Diceros bicornis minor: one gene and its partners. The protein of the gene in region 3 interacts with the protein of the main gene of each other region in a biochemical or structural test. Links are inferred from orthologs where the notes say so. Each region holds a gene or a part of one and is shown on either strand. Other genes may lie near its edges.

Evidence for each region.
Region 1: the proteins of CCND1 (region 3) and CDK6 form a complex in vitro, tested with the Homo sapiens proteins (3 studies listed by BioGRID and IntAct, with this or other methods). The link is inferred for Diceros bicornis minor from reciprocal best matches to the Homo sapiens genes CCND1 and CDK6.
Region 2: of the proteins of CCND1 (region 3) and CRYAB, one has a biochemical effect on the other in vitro, tested with the Homo sapiens proteins (2 studies listed by BioGRID, with this or other methods). The link is inferred for Diceros bicornis minor from reciprocal best matches to the Homo sapiens genes CCND1 and CRYAB.

The regions. Positions count from the first base shown.
Region 1 is NC_080742.1:30,259,358-30,266,771, reverse strand, and holds the start of CDK6 (cyclin-dependent kinase 6), read left to right. Parts: upstream 1-4,334; 5' UTR 4,335-4,431; intron 4,432-5,754; exon of another isoform or gene 5,755-5,921; intron 5,922-6,994; exon of another isoform or gene 6,995-7,131; intron 7,132-7,243; 5' UTR 7,244-7,414. UniProt on the Homo sapiens protein: Serine/threonine-protein kinase involved in the control of the cell cycle and differentiation; promotes G1/S transition. Phosphorylates pRB/RB1 and NPM1.
Region 2 is NC_080746.1:24,341,773-24,349,154, reverse strand, and holds the start of CRYAB (alpha-crystallin B chain), read right to left. Parts: upstream 3,024-7,382; 5' UTR 2,763-3,023; coding exon 2,562-2,762; intron 1,465-2,561; coding exon 1,342-1,464; intron 67-1,341; coding exon 1-66. Other genes in the region: HSPB2 (heat shock protein beta-2), read left to right, coding at 3,840-3,933, 4,427-4,881. UniProt on the Homo sapiens protein: May contribute to the transparency and refractive index of the lens. Has chaperone-like activity, preventing aggregation of various proteins under a wide range of stress conditions.
Region 3 is NC_080770.1:4,497,171-4,504,276, forward strand, and holds the start of CCND1 (G1/S-specific cyclin-D1), read right to left. Parts: upstream 3,054-7,106; 5' UTR 2,891-3,053; coding exon 2,693-2,890; intron 1,139-2,692; coding exon 923-1,138; intron 382-922; coding exon 222-381; intron 1-221. UniProt on the Homo sapiens protein: Regulatory component of the cyclin D1-CDK4 (DC) complex that phosphorylates and inhibits members of the retinoblastoma (RB) protein family including RB1 and regulates the cell-cycle during G(1)/S transition.

The DNA of each region.
Region 1 (7,414 bases), on a different chromosome or scaffold from region 3:
ACTTGAACAAATTTGTAGTAGGGTTTAAAAATTGGACCCTCTCTTCAATTTATGGTAAAATGTTTGATCCACAGAGCTATGCTATTATGTCCTTGCCTCCAGACATTCAAAGAATTCTGTAAAGAATTCCGTTCTATATTATTTTCACGAAAAATCCACAATGAGACACGATATAGTTGCATAAATATGGACTCATACATTATACAATTTCATTTAATAAGACGGATTTCATTGCATGCCATTCATTCTGAAAGAATCAGGTTGCCTGGATATGCCATACCTAGAGCATCGAGGCTACATCTCTTGGCCTCAGGACCTAGGCAGGTACTTCCGTCACTCGCCCCTGCTGCCAGGCCATTCACAGAAGTTTCTCCCAGGTGCCTTTCTTTGTCCTTCTCCTACCTCCCAGATCCCACTTGATCATCATTCACTCCCATTGTGTTGTACATTCACTGCTTCATCTGAATGGTCTATCTGAAACATGGACACACCTTTTAGTTCAACCAAAGGCAGCTATAGTAACACAATTGTTAGGCCATGTGTGCCGTTGAGATGCAAGTATCATCTCAGAAAAGAAATGTTAGAAGTCAGTGAAAATTACAGGACACTATAAATGGAAAGGAAATGTAGGTGTTTCAATGTGATTATTGCCATCTTTTGTAAGTGTATTTCCATAGTTATTTTTCTGATTACTCAGAATTTTAATATAGATGATGAAAAGATCTTAAGAACACGTTTCAAACATGTCAAAACAATATGCCAGGAACATACAGGTATTCACACACACACACACACACACACACACAAAGGAAAAAGAAGATAGGAGTGTCTATCAAAAGGAAAAAAAATAGAAAAGATGATGACAATTATACAAATATGAACATAGTACTGACATGTTGCACAGGAATAATTATAGAGCAGTAGAACCTGTGAAAACGGAATGTTCCAAAAGGTAACAATGTCTGGTTTTTTCTCCTTAAATTTTAGAAGCTACTACCTGATATATTTTTTTCCCTCATGGCAAATATCAAAATCTTTCCAAGTTTCACCGCTCAAATGCAATGCACTAGATCACAAACAACAACACAACACAACAACAAAAAGAGAAAAACCCAGGTCATTTCCAAAATGACAAGAAGTAATTTATTTAGAAGATTGAATTTTAAAAAATCATTTAAAGTTCAGAATTTTACAACTGAAAAAGTTGGTAGTACAATCGATTTTTCCTAGGATATTTAGCAAATTTTCAATATTATATTTTAAGGGAAAACCCAAGAAAACATCTTGGAAATGCCTGGGGAGAAAAATGCATTAAAATGCACTGCATTATATTATACTATTTCTGTTAAAATTATAGTTTTTCATAGTAAATTACTCAACAAAGATAACATTTACATACACATATAAATCAAGGTAAAGATGAGGGTAACTGTTTTCAAAATTATTAAACCAGAAAAGTTTTTTATCAAAACAATAAACAAGAGATCTTTAGAGACAAAAAGTATACATTTATATGGACCTCCAATTAAATTACTGTGTAGTAGATTATAGCAAAACTTTATTTCTGAGTTTCTGGAAAATGTATTCAAATAGCCAATATAAATCAGAAATGATTTAGAATTAGATGTACATTATATAACTACTAATTTTAAATAAATTACTCATGTCTTAAACAAAGTTATAAATTATAGACCAGAATTTTAAATTTTATTTTTATTTTAGTGAAAACAAAAATTTACAGATATTTGATATAAAATATTCACACAGAATACATCTCTTACGTGACACTAAGAAAACTTTCAGTATGAGCTACAACATCATATTTGGAGATAAATCCATGAGTTTTAATTTTTAAAAACCTGTAAGATGATTTGCAACTTTAGAACATCTGATATGTAGCATGAAAATACTGGTGCAAATCATTTTTCTTGAATGCTATGTATTCATTCATAGAAAACTCCTAAACAAAGGAGTCGGAATTTGGTTCACAGTTTATAAACTTTGCACAAATTTTGTTATGATAACCTGTTACCCATAGAGGAAGTTATCCATAAACAAAAACAATCTGGCATTTACTAATTTTACACGAGCCATTGTAAAACTTTCTAGTCTGAAGCTTTAGCCAATTGGGATTTATGTGAACCATAAACAGGGAGAGTGAACAATAATAAATTAACAATATTAGACAAAGCAGATGACATAAAAAGAGTTAACACTCAGTATTAACCTATATAATTAAATAAAGTTTCATTGTTTATTACATTGCCCAAGTGGTGTAGTAACCTAAGTCATGGAATTTCTAATCCACCTATGGTTGTTGTCAAATTCAGTAATGAAAAATGCAACCCATGGTAGAAAAGACATTTTTCTGTTAATTTAAAAGATACTTACAGCTTACTATTTTTTAAACAAATTATTTACTCAAATAAATTCTTGCAATCACTTGCTGGTTCCTACGACTATTTATTGACAATTATTTCTAAATTACATAAATGTGTTAATTACCAGAAAGTAAATCTTGTTTCAAAAAGCATTGATAAGTGTGAGCAATTATCAAAATGCAGAAGTCCCTTTTGTCTCTGGTTTAAAGTCTAATTAGTGACTTGTAGTGATCCAAATATTTTATATAAATACAAATCTAACAATTTGCTTTCTTAAGTCTATAAAGTATATGAGATTATAGATATCTTTAAAAATACAAATTTTGTTCAGAAATTGGATTTTATTTTAGAAGATATGCTCCTGAACACAAAATATGTGTCATGAATTACCTTAAGCATAAAGAAACACAATTATTCACTTTTAGCATTTGAGAAAAAATTATTATAATGCCTTGCAAAATATTTGCTAATGGAAATGCAACAATTTTTATTTACCTAACCTGTTACTTCATACTGTAGTATAGAATCAATTTTATAAAGGCAAATTTTTGATCTATTGTGAAATTAGCAAGATGATTTAATTCAAAAAGTCAAAAGATTTATAGAGGTAATCTTTCCAGCTCAAATAGAATTTTGCTGGGTTTTAATTTTTCCACATAGCATTGACATAAACTTATTTTAGCTTTGCTTCAAGATGTTTAAAAGGGTTTTAAGTATTCTACAGATACAGATTTTGGAGAACACTGAATTCTTTCCAGAAAAACAGCTAGTTTTTGTTTTACTCCATTGTAGAAAGTCTTGAAGACTTTTTTCCTCCAAAATCTTATTTTCACCTGAAATAATTGTATTTAGGTTTTCTCAGCAGGTAAAATATACATTCTTACAAGGTTTCAAATTTCAGAATTCCAATAATGCATTTAAACTGAGCACCCACCGAATCACGTTCTCTCCTCTTTGTGTGTGTGTGTCTATTATCTTGCAGTTCTGTTATTTACACTGAATTTTAGTTTTCTTAGCTCCCCAGAAATACCTTAGTGAATCCTCAGCAGTTGCTAACCACTTAATAACTGTGAACCGGCCAGCCCCTTCAAGTAGATCGTTAACCACAGAGTGCCTGACAATTTCCAAATCATATCCTCTTTCCAAAAGGAAAAGATAGGGCTTTGTGAGGCCGAAAGGAAGCGAAGGAAAACAAAACAAATGTAGCTCATGCTGAAAGTGAAAAGTGCTTGGACAGATTAGTATTTTCTTTTCTGCAAGGCATCTTGCCAATTTTTTTTTTTTTAATTGAGAAGAGTTATTTTTTGGTCTGATTTTTCAGTTTCTTGGAAAGTGTTGGTATTTACCATCCCCACCGGCCCCTCATAATTACGGTTGGTTGTTTTGTGTTTTTCCCATCCGTCCACATCACAGAATGCTGATACCCCCGCCTCACTCTGTCAAAACCCCAACTCCGGGCGACCCTGGGTTTGGAAACTCCACCGACTCCCGACGACACATCCCACTCTCTCTCTCACGCCTCTTATTTTAGTCGCAAGATCCCCCACTCCAGTTGCAGCGAAAGCCGGAAATTTTCATTTAACTCCCCTCTCCCCTCCTTCTCGCCCCCCACTCGGTGCCGAGAGCTGCGGAGCTGGGAGGTTCAGAGCCCAGCCGGGTCTCGGCCGCCTCCCCTCTCTCCGGAAGGTTTTAATTTGCACACTTGCTTGCCACTGCGCCGCGAGCCCCCAACACCGCCGCCGGTGGGTCTCGGGCAGCGTTGGCCTCCTGGGCCCCAGTCCCCCGCTCCCGCCCCCGCTGCCTCCCCGGCGCGGGCCCTGAGCCCCGGCAGGAGCCCCGCGGCCCCCGTCCGCCCCCAGCGAGCGGCGCGGGCGGCGCCCTCCGCCGTCCCTCCGCCCTCCGCCGCTGTGCCCACCCCCTCGCGGGAAAGAGTGCTGGTAACTCCTTCCTCCGAGCCGGGTTACCTGCTCCGCGCCGCCGTGGACACGTGCGGTGGTCGGCCCGACACACGCAGCCCCTTCGGGAGGCCGGACGTGGCCGGGCCCGTCAGGTGAGAAGCTGTGCACTCGGGTGGGTGGGCTGCGGGGTGGGGGGTCCCCGGGGAAGATTTGGGGGCTTGGCCAGGGTCGGAAGCGAGAGTGTGGGTGGGGGTGACTGTGGGGGCGGGTTGTATGTCCTCGGAATCGGCTTTGGTTAACCCCTTATGAACCGACGCAGGGTAGTTACGGGGGCCAGTTTTGGGGAGCTAAAGGAGTCTCTCCTAATCTGGCGAGAGGAGGATTTCCCACACTAGGGACACCCCCAACACTGAGATCCTGTGCCTGCTCCTGTATAGCCGTGCGCACAAACACCCCCACAAACACTCCTTATCCAGTTTCTTCAAACAATTTAAACTCCACTCGGACACTCACATAGTAATATGCGTTTAGGGTTTAAAATGCATTGCCTCTGGGGACTCCATGCGGAAGACTGTGTTTCCGTGCCCCATATTTATTTCCTCACGAAAGCTCCCTCTCCAGCTTGCTAGGTGTGGGCGTGGGCTCCACCTTCCCCACCACGAGATAAATGTTAACTCAGGCTTCCTGCTGGCAACCCCTGCGGGCGTGTTATGCACACTTAGAGGAGTGCACGCTGGCGGCTAGTGCCCACGCTTGGAGTCCCCCAAGGATGCATATTTGCTTTAGTTTCCCAGTTTACTTTTATAGTTTAAAATATCGGAGTTGAAATGCACACCCCGCGGTGAGCAGCTCCGGACCCCGCAGGGCGCCCGTCAGTGTGCACGTGGGCGCATCTGCGTGTGCGCATAAGCGGGAGTCGTGGTCCTGGTGCGGCCTCTTGTCGCTGCGCTGGTGGCGACCCTTGCGGTGCTTGGCAGGCTTCGGGAGAGGCACATGAAGGATTTCATTGAGTGTGAAGACAGAGAGCAGAGACAGAAAGCAGAAGGAGGCGGCTGCAGCCTTTGTAGTCGCGGAGGAATGCGGAAATGTTGAAGCACTATGTCAAACTTTTTTGAAATGGGGTCAAGTCACATTCAGCCAGCGTGGGAAAGCAACAACAACAACAAAAAAAAGTGGAGGAGAGGGGGGGAAAAGGCACTGCTGCTCCCGTTTCTCTGCGCCGGAGCCGACCGTCGGGGGAGCGAGGGGGGAGAGCCAGGGCGGGCGGTGCGGGGCCCGGCGGGGGTAGCGGGCGCAGTTCCCCGCGGGGGTGGGACGTCCGCAACGCTGCCTTCGCTGCAGAGCCTCGGGCTGGACTGGGGCGGGAGGAGGGGACGCGAGAGGGGCGGGCTGCGCAGCCGGCGGCGGCTTCTCCGCTACCTGTGTGGCCCTCGGCCTGGCTCAGACCCCCGTGCAGGCTCTGGGGGGCTCGCTCCTCGGCTCCCCCAGGATTCGCTTTCACCTTTTAGGGAGAGTTTTGAACGGAGTGAGTGTGAGGGGCTCTGTCCTCGCTGCAGTCCCCTCCGCCCGCACGCCGTGGGGGTCGCGCCATTTGTTTCTTTAATTCCTGGCAGAAGGCGAGCGGGCAGCAGTTGCGGGGCAGGTAATTCCGAGGTGCCCTGGGAATTGGGGACACGCGGCTGGCGTGGCGAATGTCCCGCCGAGGCCGCGGCGGCTGTGGGTTGGAGGTTGCCTAGTTCCTGGATTGCAAATGAATGGGGAGGGAAAGTGTCCCCTCGGCCCCGCACTTTGTTGTGCGGAGGGCTCCGGGGGGCGACTAGCTGCAGACGAGACCAGGCCTTAAGCCGAAAGAGGAATGGAGCAGCCGCTTCTGCTGCCTACATCGGAGACGATCCTGGGAGTGGGGAAAGGTTCGCGAGTCCTGGCCCCAAGGGCTCAGCCTCTTCTCTCTCACCTCCGGAGGCTCAGCCTTTACTCCCCCCAGCCCCCATCCTTTTTAAGGGGAGGCTGAGTTTTGCTCGGGTTGAAATCAGTTGAAAATTTCAGGACGAGTCACGGTTATGCTACCTTCCTCCTGAAGTTATTCTTTAAGGAGGCGACAAGCTAAAGTGTGGCGAACACCCCTTTCTCCCACCCTTAGGATCCCGTGGGCGACGCCCCCCGTCCAGGCCCCCATCACTCACCCTCCTCTGAGTAGCGGGAGCCCCAGCCCTCCCCGACCTGAAGAGTTTCCACCAGGGAGGTCCTCCGAGTCGGAGGAATTCCGTTTCCAACCCAGACTTCTTTACCCCCAAAAGACCACTTGTGTGTGCAAGTCGTTTTTAAATGTCTTCTCACAGAAAAACTGAAAGTAGAAAGAAAGGAAGCAATTTCCGAGCAGATGTCTGACCACCCCTTCTCGCACACTCCCAGCATCGGGTTACAGGGTCCTGGGAGCCCCCACCCACATTCTGCGGCCCCACACGGGTGGACCCACAGTCCCTCCACAGCAGCTTGTGCACAACGCCTGAACACCCCCATGGCACCCCAGGAGCCCCTCTCCCTGCACGTCCAGGCCCGGGGAGGCCGGGAGCGTAGCAGCGCAACACAATGATATAGGGATAAATATTAAGCAGTGACATTGACGTGCCCGGCGCCTCCCCTCCCCCGCGCTCCCGGCACACTCTGGGCTGCTCGGCACGCCCCCTCCCGTTCCACTGCGTCCCGCGCCGCGCGCTCATCCCGGAGGGGCCCTTGCAACCTCTCCGCGCGAAGACCGCTCCAGCCCTGCAGGGAAAGAAAAGTAACTTCGCTTTTCTCGGAGGAACCAGGAAGGATTAAGCGGCCTGGGAGAGGGCAGGAGCGCGCGGAGGGTAGCGATGGGGGCTTCCTGAAGGAGGAGGAGGGGAGTCTGCGGGAACCCTGAGGAAGGCGCCTGGGATGTCTGATTGCACTTTCTTCTTGTCCTCCCGTCTCCTCTTTTAGGTGGAATGATTGTGGACTGAGACGCACTCGGGCAGAGACTATGTAATCGCCTTGGTGTCTGTGCAGAGGACTGCGCTTCGGGGAGGGAAGAGGAGGGATCGGCTCGCTCCTCGGCGACTCGGCAGGCGGAGTTTCGCAGCGGCACCAGGGTTGCGCCCGCCCGCGGGGAGG
Region 2 (7,382 bases), on a different chromosome or scaffold from region 3:
AGGGTCCACATCAGCTGGGATCCGGTATTTCCTGTGGAACTCTCGGGAGATGAAACCGTGTTCATCCTAATCCAAGAGAACGAGGAAAGAGGCAGAGAGATAAGAACAGGAAATAGCACCACTTGCCTAGAACCAACACATCCTCCTTCCCCTTAGGTGTCACCAAAGGTCATGGCAACATGAGAGAAAGCTAAATAGCTGTTCTGTTTGGGGCTAAGATGAAGTTGCCTAGGTGGTCACTCCTACCGATGAGAGTCTGGGAAGTCTGAAACAGCCAAAACTTCACAGCTGTCCAAATCCTGAGGCATGGAAATGTTGAGGGGTATTTTCTAAAGGTTCAGATAAATGTTTGTTGGGTCTACAGGATTTGGAATATCATCTGGCATTGATGATCTGAGTCCCTGAGGAAATTGTTCTGACTCTCCAGGAATGTCTTAGAATGTTCCAGACCAAGAGGACTGCTGCTAGAAAAAGTTAAAAAATAAGACTCCATCCAGGGAGACTATGACCCAAACTTGAATCATTTGAGCGAACAAACAGCCTGAGGACCTCAAACTGTACTGTTTGATGCACAAGATTCGAGTTACCACTGATTGGTAAGAAGCAAACTCATTAAAAAACGCTCTCAGAAAATAATGAGAAGCTGTGCCATTCTTCAGAATTCTGCTGAAGGATAGTTGACTCCTACCCTTACACCTGCTGAATCTCAAGCATTTATCCAGACAGGCTCTCAGTTAACTGATTTCCACATGGGCTCTGGTGTATTAGGAGCTGAGTACGGTTCTGAAACTTAGGCAAACCAAGTAGTTCAGCATTAAGAGGGGCTAAGGAGAAGAGGATTCCTGAACATCTAAAAGAAAAGTCCCAAATTCAAGGGCCTTCAGGGTGCATGCAATTAACATAATTATGTAAAGCAACCAGGTGTCCGACAAGCACTATGCCTAAATCCATGGTCCTCAACCTAGACTGTACATTAGAATTACCTAGAGAGATTTTTAAAATGCTGATGCCTGGGTCCTACCCCTAAAAACTCTGATTTAATTGGTCTGGAATATGCTTGAGCATTGGGATTTTTTTTTAAATTCCCCTGGTGATTCTGAAGTGGCCAAGCTGAGAACCACTGGCTTAAATGGGAAGTTAACATCCCATCTACCCTATCTAAAGCAATCAAATCAAAACAACAAAGATCACTTCTCTGGCCAAAACAACAACAACAGGTCTATCCCGGTTCCAGACCCTATGGCTTAGGATGGGCATGTTGCCGGCCTCAGAGGCTGATGGCAGTGTCTGCTATACAGTATGCACTGAATGAATGAGCAGAAGAGAAAACAATCTACACACCTGGCGCTCTTCATGTTTCCCGTGCACCTCAATCGTATCTCCCAGCACCTTGACCTTGAGTTCCTCTGGGGAGAAGTGCTTCACATCCAGGTTGACAGAGAATCTGTCCTTCTCCAGACGCATCTACAAATAGCAAGGTGGAGAGGAGGGAGTAGGAGAAAAGATGGAAGGAATGTAGATTACACTAGTGCAGTCTCATCGTTCTGCAGACTTGCTTTCTGTCCAGGAGGTTTATCCTCCTCTTTTCGGCTAAAAATCCCTTTTTGAATAAACACAGCTCTCTGGTTCAAGGGAGCCACCACAGTGGTACCCAAGGCCCAAACTTTGTTTACAGGGACAGGGAAGATGACAGGCCACCCAGGGGACCAATCACAAGGATGGGTCTGGGCATGGCTTCTGCTGCCTCTCCCACCCCAATGCCCAGCCTTGTCATTTGTCTGTAAGACAAAGGCCCCTTCTTCTTGCTCAGGTTTCTGCCAAGTTTCCCACCCAGTCAATCTGGAATGTTCTGCTGGCCCTGATTTGTCCTTCCAAAGCCCTTGCCTACTTAGCTCCTGTTTACTCACACTTGAATATTTTTAAACTAGAGTGTTATCTATGATAGCTTCTGTCAACCTTATCTGTTCACCCCATTCTCCCACCCTCTTAGGACAAGTGGGGGTCCCAAGACTGGACCTACATTCTTTCCTCCTTAGGCTTGGACCCAGGCCAGTGCCCTGTCAGCCCTGAGAAACCCGGAAAATCACAGAAGAGGGAATAGAAAGGATGAAAATAGTGGTTGCTGTCTCCAGCTCCACGCAGTGGGGATGAAAAGCTCAGGATGAGCTAAGACTGTCTCCTGGCTCTGAAACTTCAGATAATAAAATTCATCAGGAGTATGAGGTATCAGAAGAGGTGAGCAAATGAGTCTGAAGGCAGGTCTTTCCCTGAGATCATTATGAACCAAACCAGAAAGGAGTATCGCACTTAGGAGATGGAGGATGATCTTCATCGCGCATGGGAAAAACGCAATAAGTAGGATACAGAGGAACATCAAATACAAACAGGTGACTGGGGGAGGGAGGCGTTAGTAACTTTATCTTTCTTCACTGCTGGACGCACAAGTGCCTAAGACCCTTAGACATAGCCAGATTTAGGCAGGGAGGAAAAGGAGAGCAGATGGAGATGTTTCCAGGAGGTTCCAGGAAGAACTCTCCTGTCCTGGCAGAGGGGAGACTTACCTCTGAGAGCCCAGTGTCAATCCAGCTGGGTGCCCGCAGGAACGAGGGCAGCCGAAGGTAGAAGGGACTCAAGGAAGTAGAAGTGGGGAAGAGATCAGACTCCAACAGGTGCTCTCCGAAGAACTGGTCAAAGAGGCGGCTGGGAGAGGGGAAAGGAAAGAAGGGGCGGCGGATCCACGGGTGGTGAATGGCGACGTCCATGGTGGCTGGGTGAATGTGGGGGGTCAGCTGGCTGGTCAGCTCCTTCAGCTGCAGCTACAGCCAGCCCCTTTATATACGCAGTCTTGTGAAGCTTCTGGAATGGTGATGTCAGGGGTTTTATTATCCCAGCTCACCGCCCGTTCATGGAGACTTGTGATTCGGGATTTGGCAGTGTGACACATACCCAGTACTCACTGAGCTAAGAAAAGAGAAATACAAACACGTCTGAGCTGGCCAGTGACTTGTCCTGGTCTTGTTTCACTAGCCTTCTGTCCACACCCAATGGCCCCTTGCCACCCCCCTTCTCTGGAGTTGGGACAAAGTCAGGAATCCCAAACAGGCAGCAGTGTGCCCCTCCTCCTCCTCTCCAGCCTAGCATGCCAGAGGAACCCAGCCAGCGACTATCTTGGGCCTGGGCAGGGACTGGAATCTTCCTAGGCTGGGCCCCAGGGACATTAACTCTTTGTGGGTTCCTAGAGGAGAGCAGTGATCACCAACATGTCAGTGCCATGCATCTGTGTAGTACCCTAGGTTGACCTGGGTTCAGGAGAGGACCCTGACATTAATCTGGGCAGGAAGACCCCTCATCCTACACCCCCAAAAAGGATAGAAAGTATTCTTGTATCTTTCACCTTACATGGCTCGCAGAACATTAAATCCATGAGAGCTTTATGAAGTAGGATGCAGAGTGCCTGCCACTGAAGAGGAGAAAAGGTGGTGTGGAAAATGTGCAAACTGTGAGGGTCTCAGCTAAGCCTCTCCAGGGCCTCTGGCACCAGCCTCCCCTCTGCAGCTCTCTCCCCAGCCAGGACCCCCAGCTGTCCTCTCAGGCCCCCTGCAACAGCTGAAGGGTGTGCGGGGGGGAGGGAACGGGGGTCCAGGCGCTGCTGGTCACATTCGTCGCTGGCACTCAGGGCCCGGGCTCCCCGCCCCTCCTCCCGAGGCTCGGCACTATTTTGGGTGGTGTAGACCCCGCCCCCACCTCCAAGAGAGCCCTGTCTCTCCAGGCAGCTGGAGGGGTCCCGCTGCGTCGCTGGGGCTGCACCTCGGACCAGGGCCGCCGACGCGTCTGCAGCCATGTCGGGCCGCTCGGTGCCACATGCCCACCCGGCCACCGCTGAGTACGAATTTGCCAACCCGAGCCGCCTGGGTGAGCAGCGCTTCGGAGAAGGTATGGCACAGACGCCACCCCCTTGCCTCCCACCCCCACCTCCTGAAATTCTGGGCTGACCTCCCAACGGTACTGGCCTCCACCCCACTCTGGGCTTAACTGAACTACTGGGGCAAGCCATCTCCCGCACCAGACTCCCCCTTGCCCCCCTCCAAGCAGAGCTCTTTCCCCTTCCTACTGACCTCAGTGCAGACTTGGAGCCCACAATGCTTTGAGACCTGCCCCCTGCCGCCCCTAGCGTGCCTTGTTCCCCTTCGGTCCACCCAGTCCCGGTTTGGTTTGCTCTCCTCCACCCCCACCTCGGTTCCTTTCTCAATCCCCTCTCCCCAGCTGCCTCCTAGCCGCTGTGTCCCCCTGCCTCCCCTTCCCTGCTTCTCCTGACTCCCCTCCTGCTCTCCCCAGTCCTCACCTCCTGATCTCCTCTCATTTCACCCCTGTTCCCCCTTCACGCTCCCTTATCCTGCCTCTTGCCTTCTCTCTCTCTGCCCCTCAGGCCTCCTGCCAGAAGAAATCCTGACCCCCACCCTCTACCATGGCTACTATGTCCGGCCTCGGGCTGCCCAAGCTGGGGAGGGCAGCAGGGCAGGGGCTTCCGAGCTCAGGCTCAGTGAGGGCAAGTTCCAGGCATTTCTGGATGTGAGCCACTTTACCCCAGATGAGGTGACTGTGAGGACTGTGGACAACCTGCTGGAGGTGTCTGCCCGGCACCCCCAGCGCCTGGACCGCCACGGCTTCGTGTCGCGAGAGTTCTGCCGCACCTACGTCCTGCCTGCTGATGTCGACCCCTGGCGGGTCCGCGCTGCTCTCTCCCATGATGGCATCCTTAACCTGGAGGCGCCTCGGGGTGGCCGACATTTGGACACAGAGGTCAATGAGGTCTACATCTCCCTGCTCCCTGCGCCTCCTGATCCGGAGGAAGAGGAGGAGGCAGCCAGAGTTGAGCCCTGAGTGCCACAGACCTAGCACCCTGCGAATTCCTTTCTATCTACTGCCGTGATACAAGCAGCTGCCCACCACCCCAGAGGTAGCAGCATCCTTGGGGAAAGGGAAAAGTGCATGGTCCACAATGTATGGTTTGGTCCCTTGGGACATGTGGTAGCCTTTGGTTTAGTTCTGGGTGGAGCTTAATAAACCCAAATCTCAGGGCCTTGTTTGTGCTGCTCCCTATTCTGTGGCCTGGAGGATGGGATGGGCAGGGGGAGAGGAGGTCAATAGCCAGCTAGACAAAATCTCCTCAGTTAGATGTGCCCAACGTCACAGCACCCTGAGCTCACACTTGCATGCTGAGATCACACCCGGAAGCTGACACTGGCTCCCCATCAAATTCCTAGCCATAATTTTCTCACAATGCAACAAAAGAGAGAGTGATCCTGGGAGGGAAAAGGGATATGCCATCCAAACAGCCCAGAGGGCACTGTCTGAGCTGGTGATTAGAGACACAAAAACAAGGGTCTCCAGACTGTCTGGCCTGTTTTGGATAGGGGTTGGGAAAATAGGTTTTGGCTGGAGAGAGTTGCCTAAAGCCCTGTTTTCCCATATTAAGGTCTGTCCACTGAAAATGGTCTCTGATTCTGAGGGACTAAGTGTGCATACACAGGGGCACACACACAGAAACCTCTGCCATTGTCACGGAACCCCAAAGTCTCCCCACCCTCTGCACAGGGGAGGCCCATGAAAAGAAAGCATTTGTTTCTAATCTTGGAACAACCCAAAGAGGAATCACTGCATCACCCCACCCAATCTGAGACTAAATGCAGGGGATCTAAGGCTATTGGTGTGGTGGTGATGGCCGGGGAACCTTCCTTTGGAAGTAGTCTTAATACTAGGGGTATGATGTGTTCAGGAAAGTCTAGTGGTCTGAGCCCTCAATTATTCTCTGTAATCAAGAGAGCATGTGTGTATATGATTTGAGGAGTGTCCAGAAGACCTCCCTGTCCCAAAATATATCTTTTACCAGGCTGTGGTGGATACCTGAAATTCTTCCATTAAAGTGGTTGATCCTTAACTTTGTTGGGTTGCAGACCCATTTGAAAATCTGACAAAAGCTATGGATTCTCTTACCAGAAAAATGCACATGCTCCCAAATTTGGTATACAATTTAGATAGGTTCATACAGCTCTTGAGATCCATTCATATGCCCCTCTTAGAGATCTGTGGACCCCCAGGATAAGAACCCTCACTTGAAGAATTCAATTTTTGGTTAAAGGATTGCCATCAATTAAAAATGATAGCATGCCTCAGAGAAGTAACTATTGATATATTCATTTGTTCATTCATTCATTCAACAAATATTTATCAAACCCCAAGTAATATACTATGGGGGATGCACATTGTAAATATAAATTATTAAAATTATGGTCTTTTATTGTCTACTCTCATGAATCTTAATACCTAGTTGAGAATAAAAAGAGTAAAGAAAGGATCCTACTCAGACTTCAACCCGAACAGCATCACATTGATCTGTTTTGTAACTGGAATTTTCACATGAGCTTTATTTAAAAGAAAAGATTCCCAGGGGCTGGCCTGGCAGCATAGCGGTTAAGTTCACGTGCTCCGTTTTGGCGACCCAGGGTTCTCAGGTTCGGAACCCTGGGCGCGAACCTACGCACAGCTTATCAAGCCCTGCTGTGGCAGTGTCCCACATATAAAGTGGAGGAAGAGTGGGCCCGGATGTTAGCCCAGGGCCAATCTTCCTCAGCAAAAAAGAGGAGGATTGGCAACAGATGGTAGGGGTAATCTTCCTCAAAAAAAAAAAAGAAAAGGAAAGAAAAGTTTCCTTAGCTAGAAAAAAAATGGAGGCCTCTGATTTAGTCCAAATCCCCATCCCATTTAAATTCTTTTAAGATTATTAGTCAACTTCTTTTGGGACATTTTGAGTGACAGAGAACTGAGAACTTCATAAAGTAGCCCAATTGATTTTCTTTTTGGACATATCTGTTACAAATTCTTCCTTCTATTAAACCAAAATCTGCATTTCAGTAACTTCTGCCCATTGGTTCTGGTTATGTTCAGAAAATAAAAGCAATCCTTCTTTCACTTAAGAGTCCTTCAGATATTTAAAGATAACCATTCTGTCCTCCTAAGGCTTCCCTTTCCCAACTAAACATGCCTAGTCCTTTTAACCATATCTTATAGGACTTTCCATCCTACTTATCACCCAGATAACTTTCTCTTGAACACACTGCCTTTTGACAACATAACTTGAAACTCAACATGTAGACATAAAATTATTATTTGAGTCGTGGACTGACTGGTACAGACTTCAGTGGAATAATCAATACCCTTGTTTATCACTCTAGACTTCTATTAATATTGCTTTAGGTGTATCAGGTTTTCTGGCTGCCAGAACACACTATTGGTTCCTTTGGAGTTTCTGGTCATATAAAATCTCTTAAGTGTTTTCCTTTAAATTAGAGAAAGTGGCTGGAAAGGGACCAGATTGTGGAGGG
Region 3 (7,106 bases):
ATCGCGAAGGCACTGCATGGTAGCCGCCCGCCCCCGGGGGGCAGCACCCCTCCATCCAGCACAAACCGCCCAAGCCCTCTGCTCAACAGAACAGAGACGGAGGAGCGCTTCCCAGGGCAGGCGGGGCCGGGGGAGCATCAGATGGGGAAACTGAGTCAGAGGGCAGGAAGCTCCGCCGGGGGACCCCCAGGGAGGCCGGGGCAGCAGGCCAGCCGCCCTACCTGTGGCGCAGAGGGCGACGAAGGTCTGCGCGTGCTTGCGGATGATCTGTTGGTTGTCCTCCGCCACCGGCATTTTGGAGAGGAAGTGCTCGATGAAATCGTGCGGGGTCATGGCTGCCAGGTTCCATTTCAGCTTGTTCACCAGGAGCAGCTCCATTTGCTGTGGAAACGGGGTGGACGAGCATAAAGAGGCGCGCAGGGCAGCCGCGGGGGCGGGGGGACAGGGGCCTGGAGAGAAGGGATGGGGGATGTCGGGCTCCAGGAAGAGGGGGACAACACGCGATCCCAGGTCAAAAAAGAGAAGGTGCCGCCGGCAAACGCTCCTGCTCACGGTTAAGCCGCCTGTTCCCAAGTGGACACAAAAAAGACCTCCCACACCCGGGACACGCCGCCCGGTCGTAAACGCGCTGCCGCCGCTAGAGGGCGCGCGCCGCCCACTTTTCGGGCGCGTCCGGGGCGCAGACGCGGTGGGAGTCCGAGCGAAAGTGCGAGGTGGGGCGGCGGGGACGGCGGCGGGGACGGGGGGCGCCGGGGGTCGCGCCGGCTCCTCGAGGCGGGGGCCCCCAAGCAGTGTGGCCGCCCGCCCTCGGGGCCCAGGGTCTGTCAGCAGCCGGCCGGGGCCCCCCACCTCTGCACCTCCCCCACCCCCGGGGTCCCGCGGCTACTGGGGCGTCGGTGGGCGGCGGGGGTCGCGGGGTTACCAGCAGCTCGTCGGGCCGGATGGAGTTGTCAGTGTAGATGCACAGCTTCTCGGCCGTCAGGGGGATGGTCTCCTTCATCTTGGAGGCCACGAACATGCAGGTAGCCCCCAGCAGCTGCAGGCGGCTCTTCTTCACGGGCTCCAGCGACAGGAAGCGGTCCAGGTAGTTCATGGCCAGCGGGAAGACCTCCTCCTCGCACTTCTGCTCCTCGCAGACCTGCCGGGGCACCGGGGCCGTGACCGCCGCCGCGCGCGCGCCGGGCCCCCTCCGCGGAGACCCCGCGCCCCCCACCCCGCGCGCGCCGGCCCGCGGGGCCCCGAGCGCGCCGAGGGTCGCGGCAGGGGGCCGCAGACGCTTCCGGGGACGCGCCCCCTCCCCCGGGTGTCCCCAATACCCACCCACCCTGAAACTGAAAGGGAAAGTCCCCGCGAGGCTGGCACGGCGGGGGCGGGAGCGGGCACGGCTGGGCGGCATGCGCCGCGCGCGGGCTGCCAGCCCCCGAGACCCCGGCCCGCGTGGGGGCTCCGGGGCCCGCCTGGCCGGGGGTCGGCACGAAACGGGGTGCGGGGCCGCGGGGCGGACCGCGGGGCCGGGCGCCGCGCTCGCTGCGCCTGCGAGACACAAAGGTGGCGTCCCAGGCCGCCGCGCCGCATTTCCCCAGACGTCATCTTTTCAAAAAATATTTAAAAATATAAAAAAATTATTTGAGTACATAAAAAACCCATGAAAATGACCCTCGGACGGCCCTTTACCCAGTCCGGGGGTCGGGAGCTCGTTGCAGGCTCGGGGGAGAGCCCCAGGAATTAAAACTCGGCCCCCCCCCCTCCCCTTGGGCGCGGGCGCCGCTTCCCTCTCGCAAGGGCACCACGCCGCACTTTCAAAAATTATTTTAAAATACTTGCGGGCGCCCCAGGCACCCACTGAAAGCCTGAAAATGTGACCCGGGCCCCCGGCTCGCTCCACACAGGTCCCCCAAGCTGAGACCCCTGCAGACAAGGGTCAGTCCCTAGCCTCCTGGGGGCCACGCGACCTTGCAGCCCGGCGTGCTCTCCGGCCCAGGCTGGCAGTGCGGGGCGCCCCGGGACTCGGTGCTTGAACAAAGGGGCCCCCCTTCCCGAGCGGGGTCCCCCCAAAACTGCCCGCGCTCTGTCCCCGCGCCCCTCCCGGCGGCCGCGCGGCCCCTCGCGGCGGCCCCAGCGCCTCGCCGGCCGCTCCCCGCCCCCACCCTGCCCCCAATTATTAATAAACACTTTTGCTTTGCAATAAAAGAACAAAGATGGCGCATAATACTGGCACGAGCGGCCCTTGCATACGTGTCCATGGGTATTAATTTAAAAATCAAATCTATGCCCCCTCCCCCTGGAGCTGGCGGCTCAGTGGCCGCGCGGCCGGGAGAGGAGGCACAGCCGGGCACGGGCGCAGGCGGGGGTGCGCGGTGGCGGCCCAGGAGGGGACCATAAGGGGCGCCCAGCCTGCTGGCCCGCACCCTCGAGTCAATTGGGGTGCCCCTGGCACGGGCTTTCCCCGAAGGCACCCCTCCCCGACCGCTCCCCGCCCCCCCCAGGAAAGAGTATTTCTAATTCCCCCACCCCCTCCTCGTGCAAAAAACACCCACAATATCTATGTATTTTGAAAATACGACTCCTAGCAACAGTCCCGCAAACTTCAAAGTTGGGGTGAGAGAGAAGGGAGGGAGACGAGTGGCAAAGAAATGTGGGTCTGAGCAACAAGTTGCAGGAAAGTCTCAAGAGAACCGCCGAAGCCCCGCACCTCCAGCATCCATGTGGCCACGATCTTCCGCATGGACGGCAGGATCTCCTTCTGCACACACTTGAAGTAGGACACCGAGGGCGCGCAGGTCTCCTCCGCCTTGAGCATGGCCCGCAGCACCCGGTCGTTGAGGAGGTTGGCATCGGGGTACGCCCGGCGGATGGTCTCCCCCTCGCAGCACAGGAGCTGGTGTGCCATGGCTGGGGCTCTGCTGGGTGGCCTGGGGCGGGCGGTGGGTCCCCGGGGCTCGGTCTGGGCTCGGCTCTCGCTCCTGCTGCCCCGCGCTCCCTCGAGCTCTTCTGCCCCTCGCCGGAGCGCGCGGACGCTGCTGCTCGCTGCTACTGCGCCGACAGCCCTCTGGAGGCTCCAGGACTTTGCAACTTCCAACAAAACTCCCCTGTAGTCCGTGTGACGTTACTGTTGTTAAGCAGAGATCAAAGCCGGGCAGAGAATGGGAGCGGGGGTGGGGGGGGCGGGGGCGGGCGCAGGGGGAGGGGGCGCGGGCGCCGAGCGCTGGGGAGCGGCGAGGGGCAGAGCCCAAAAGCCATCCCGGAGGCGCCGCGCCTGCCCCGCGGCGGAGTTGCCCCCGAAGCCCGGTTTTCATAGAAATGCAAATCGCCCCATGGCTGCCTTTCTCCCCGCTGGGGAAGAGGGGTGCAGGGGGGTCTGTCCTCCCCGAGTGGGTCCCCTGGGATTTTGAGGGTGGGGTGGAGGTGGCTCTGCAGAGAGGGACAACTAGGAGGGCGGGCAGGCCACACGCAGCCGGGGAGACCGCATGGAGGGGGGACTCTGGGGCTCGGCGACACCCTATATCCGAGCCGGGAGAATGGGCGCATTTCCGAGAACGCCACGAGGGCACCCACGGGCGAAGAGGCCGCCAAGGAATCTCAGCGTTTACATCTTCATTTTCATTAACACGTGTAAATTTCAGGAACCATTTAACGCTCAGGGACGTAGGGCAGAGCCCACACTCCCGGTGGAGGCTTCATTCCGGCGCACAGGGGGGTCGTTGCAAATGCCCAGGGGGTAACCCTAAACGTTAAAGGGATTTCAACCTAGCATGCGCTAGCGCAAAAAATAAAATAAAATAAATGCCCGAAAATTCCAGCAGCAGCCCAAGATGGTGGCCAGCATTTCCTTCATCCTGTCCTCCTCGCCGGGGGGATCTCCGGGCTGTCTTCCCACCTTAGGCAGTCCATCCTTGCGGGGGTCTCCAAATGCCCCCCCCACCACGTCCCGCCAATTTAACAGCTGGAAAAACACCACTGAATGGAAGGCTGCAAAACGGGTCTCTGTCTTGTCTCACTTTTTAATTAAAGAATAAATTAAATCGCTGGAACTATTAGTCGCCTCTCTGCCTGGGAGAAGACCACCGGAAGCGTCCTAATTGGTTTTGTTAGGGGTGTGGACACCTTATCACCTTTAGAATTTGCCCTGGGGCTGCATTCGTGAGCTTGAAGGGGATGGCAGGAGCTTGCAAAAAGTAGGACAATTATTAAGTTAAAGAAATGGGTGTGTTGATCTGATAATTTTAAACAAAATCTATATATGTTCGTGGTTTTATGAGAGGGTCCCCAATATTATCGCAACCTTCAGAGACATACAAAAGAATAAAGTGTTTTTTTAATCAAAGATTCTTCTTGGTGCATTTTTTTTAATAAAAAGACATTTTACCCAGTCTTAACATTTTTTTTTACAGTTTTTACACTACCTGCCCCAAATTAAGAAAACTGTTCATTTACTTCCCTCTGAATACAGTTTAGTGTCATCAAACCACCGGATCCCCTAACAGTAAAGACGCAAAGAAAACGGATAAAAAAGCCCCCTCCCCTTCACAAGGGCGCACGCAGCAAGATAAGACTCTCCGCCCTTTCGGGGCTGATTGTTCCTGCGCCCCCTCCCCCGCCGGGAATTAGGGTTACTAATATTCAGGGTCCGGGAGGGTAATTACCCCCGGCTCACGCCTCCGAAGTGGTGGGTGGCCCGAACAGGGAGCGCCCCCCGCCGTGTCCCCCTCCCCGGGCACCCACGCTCACGCCGGCCCGGGGGCACGGCGGAGCCTCGGAGCATCAGCCCGCGCACGAGGGCTGCCGACTGCTTTTTCATTCATAAAATCCCGACCGGGCGGCCGCCCCGATGATTTATGGGGCCGCGCGCTCTCGCCTGGCGACTCCCGTCCCGGGGGGCGTGGGGGCCCGAGCCTCGCGTGCGCCCCGGCCCTGCCCGAGGCGGGCGGGCGACAGCGAGGGGCAGCGGGGCATAAGGAGGCTCGCCCACTCCGGCAAAAGGGGCTCCAGGTCCAGGAGGGAGCTTCCCCCCAACCCGGGAGAAAGACAGAGGAAACTGGAATTAGCATGAGCCAATGGGGGCGCGGCGCTGTTACTAGGCGGACCGGGCAGATCTCGACGAGGAACTTCGTTGATTTCCCCGCTCAGGGACGGGCGCAAAAGTGCAAGCCCAGCCGGCGAGCGTGAAGAGCCGTCCAGGAACCCGCGGGGGAGGCGCTGGAATTTGGAGCCGGGCAGGGAGCTCCAGCCGCCCAGCCCCCACCCCGGGGAGCCCCGATCTGCGTGTCCCGGAGCCCCCGAGGGGGCCAACAGCCCCGGGCCCTGGAGGGCGATTGCTTCTAGGAGACAAAATAAAAATTTTGATTTTAATTTTTTTTTCCCAGAGAAAAGCAATTTTTAAAAAGTTTTCTGTTGCAGTTTTAATTTTTCACTGCCTTTAAAAACCCACCAAGAAGCGGGAACTGCGAATTCTGGGCTCTGCGCTTATTTCTTGGTGACCATTTGGAGACAAAAGGCTGGTGGCACAGTCGGGAGGGAAACCACTTTGATTGGAAAGAAAATCCAAAAGTAACTTAAATCACCTTCCCACTTTCCTCGCCCCCCGGCCCCCCACTGGGGCGACCACGGCCGGGGCGGATCGTCCACCCGGAGAGGGCGAATTCCGCGGCAGGCGCGTTTGCCACCGTCCCTGGCTGTGGGAATCTTCATTCAAGGCGGGGGAAGGGAGTGCGTTCATTCAGGAACCAGCGCGCCGCGGCGCCGACTCCGGGACGCACCGCGGCTGCGCGCTGCCCAGTGAGGGGCTTTGGGAAGGGGTTGCAGACCCCAGTGGAGACCTTCCACCAACGTTGACCTCTGACACCCGCCCTCTCCCCAGAGGACCGGGGCGGCGGGCGGGCGGGCGCAGCAAGGTGGGGTCACCTGCAGCCGCATACCTGGCGGCGACTTGAAAGGACTTGGCTCCGGCTCCGCGAGTTTTCCATTGTTAAGCCCTTAAGTAGCCCTGGAAAACGCTTCCGAATGTGGGCCGCGGGGTTCCGGGGCGCTTGGGCTCCCCTTCCCCCACGCTTCTCGCTTTGGGGGCACGCATGGCGGTCCACGTGCTGCGGTAGCTCCTGGGCTACGCGGTGCCGATCCCCCGCGCCCCAAAGCTGCGGGACGCGCTGGGGCGAACTCTGGCCCAGGCGCCCACCCGGGACAGTCACACGCTGGGAACGGGGGCAGCCGCACCTCCCACCGCCCCAAGCCACGGACGTGCGTTTCCGCCTCTGATCAGTTAATTTCAGGCACACACAGATTACCCCTCTTTCGCGTGCCCCCGTCCTGGGTCGGGCAGGCTGCGGGGCCGGGACACCCCTCCCCCACCTCTGAAGGCGGTGGGCGAGGTGTGTGCTGGAGTTAAAAACCAAACCCCAACGTGGGGGGGGGGGGGAGGCTGACTCCCAACGCCTCTGGGATCCCAAGGGAAAAGGTGCACACTTGGGGGCGAAAGAAGATTCTAACTCCTTGACCTCCGGCCCTCAAAACGCATCGCCTGGTGCCCGAAGCAATAGGAAACCCCAAAGTCTACTAGGAATTCCATGGCCTCTTGGCTCAGGCCCCTGGCCGAGTGTCGTGGAGTGGGCGCCCAGATTGAGAAAATAACCACCTCCAACCAAGGCAAAGAAATCGGACGGGAGGTGGGGGTAATGACCTAAGAGGCCTTGTCCCTCCCGCGTCTCCCGTGGCCAAGCAGGGCCGCGGCCTGCCCGAGGCGAGCAGACTCCCGCCCCGGACGAGGGCGCAGGGCGCTGCTGGGGAGACTCGCGGGGCCTCGGAAACCGGCGGCGGCGGCTCTCGGGAGCCGGACCTTCCCGGGGGCGGGCCCGCGCTAAGACCCTCGTCTCCGGCGGCGCCGCCGCCCCGCCCGGGAAGGGCTCGACGCCCCATCCCTCGCCTCCAGGACTTGTCACTCGCCCCCCCATCCCTGCCCTTTCCCGGGGACTGTCTGCGGGGAGGCCCCGCAACCTCGTGCCTTCCAGCCTGCTTCTTTGTGCCCTTGAAATGCCCCAAAACATTTCCATCCTTCGTCTTGGCCCTGGGGGTGGGTGGAGGGACGGTCGGGGGCTTTATTAGAGGGAATCTCC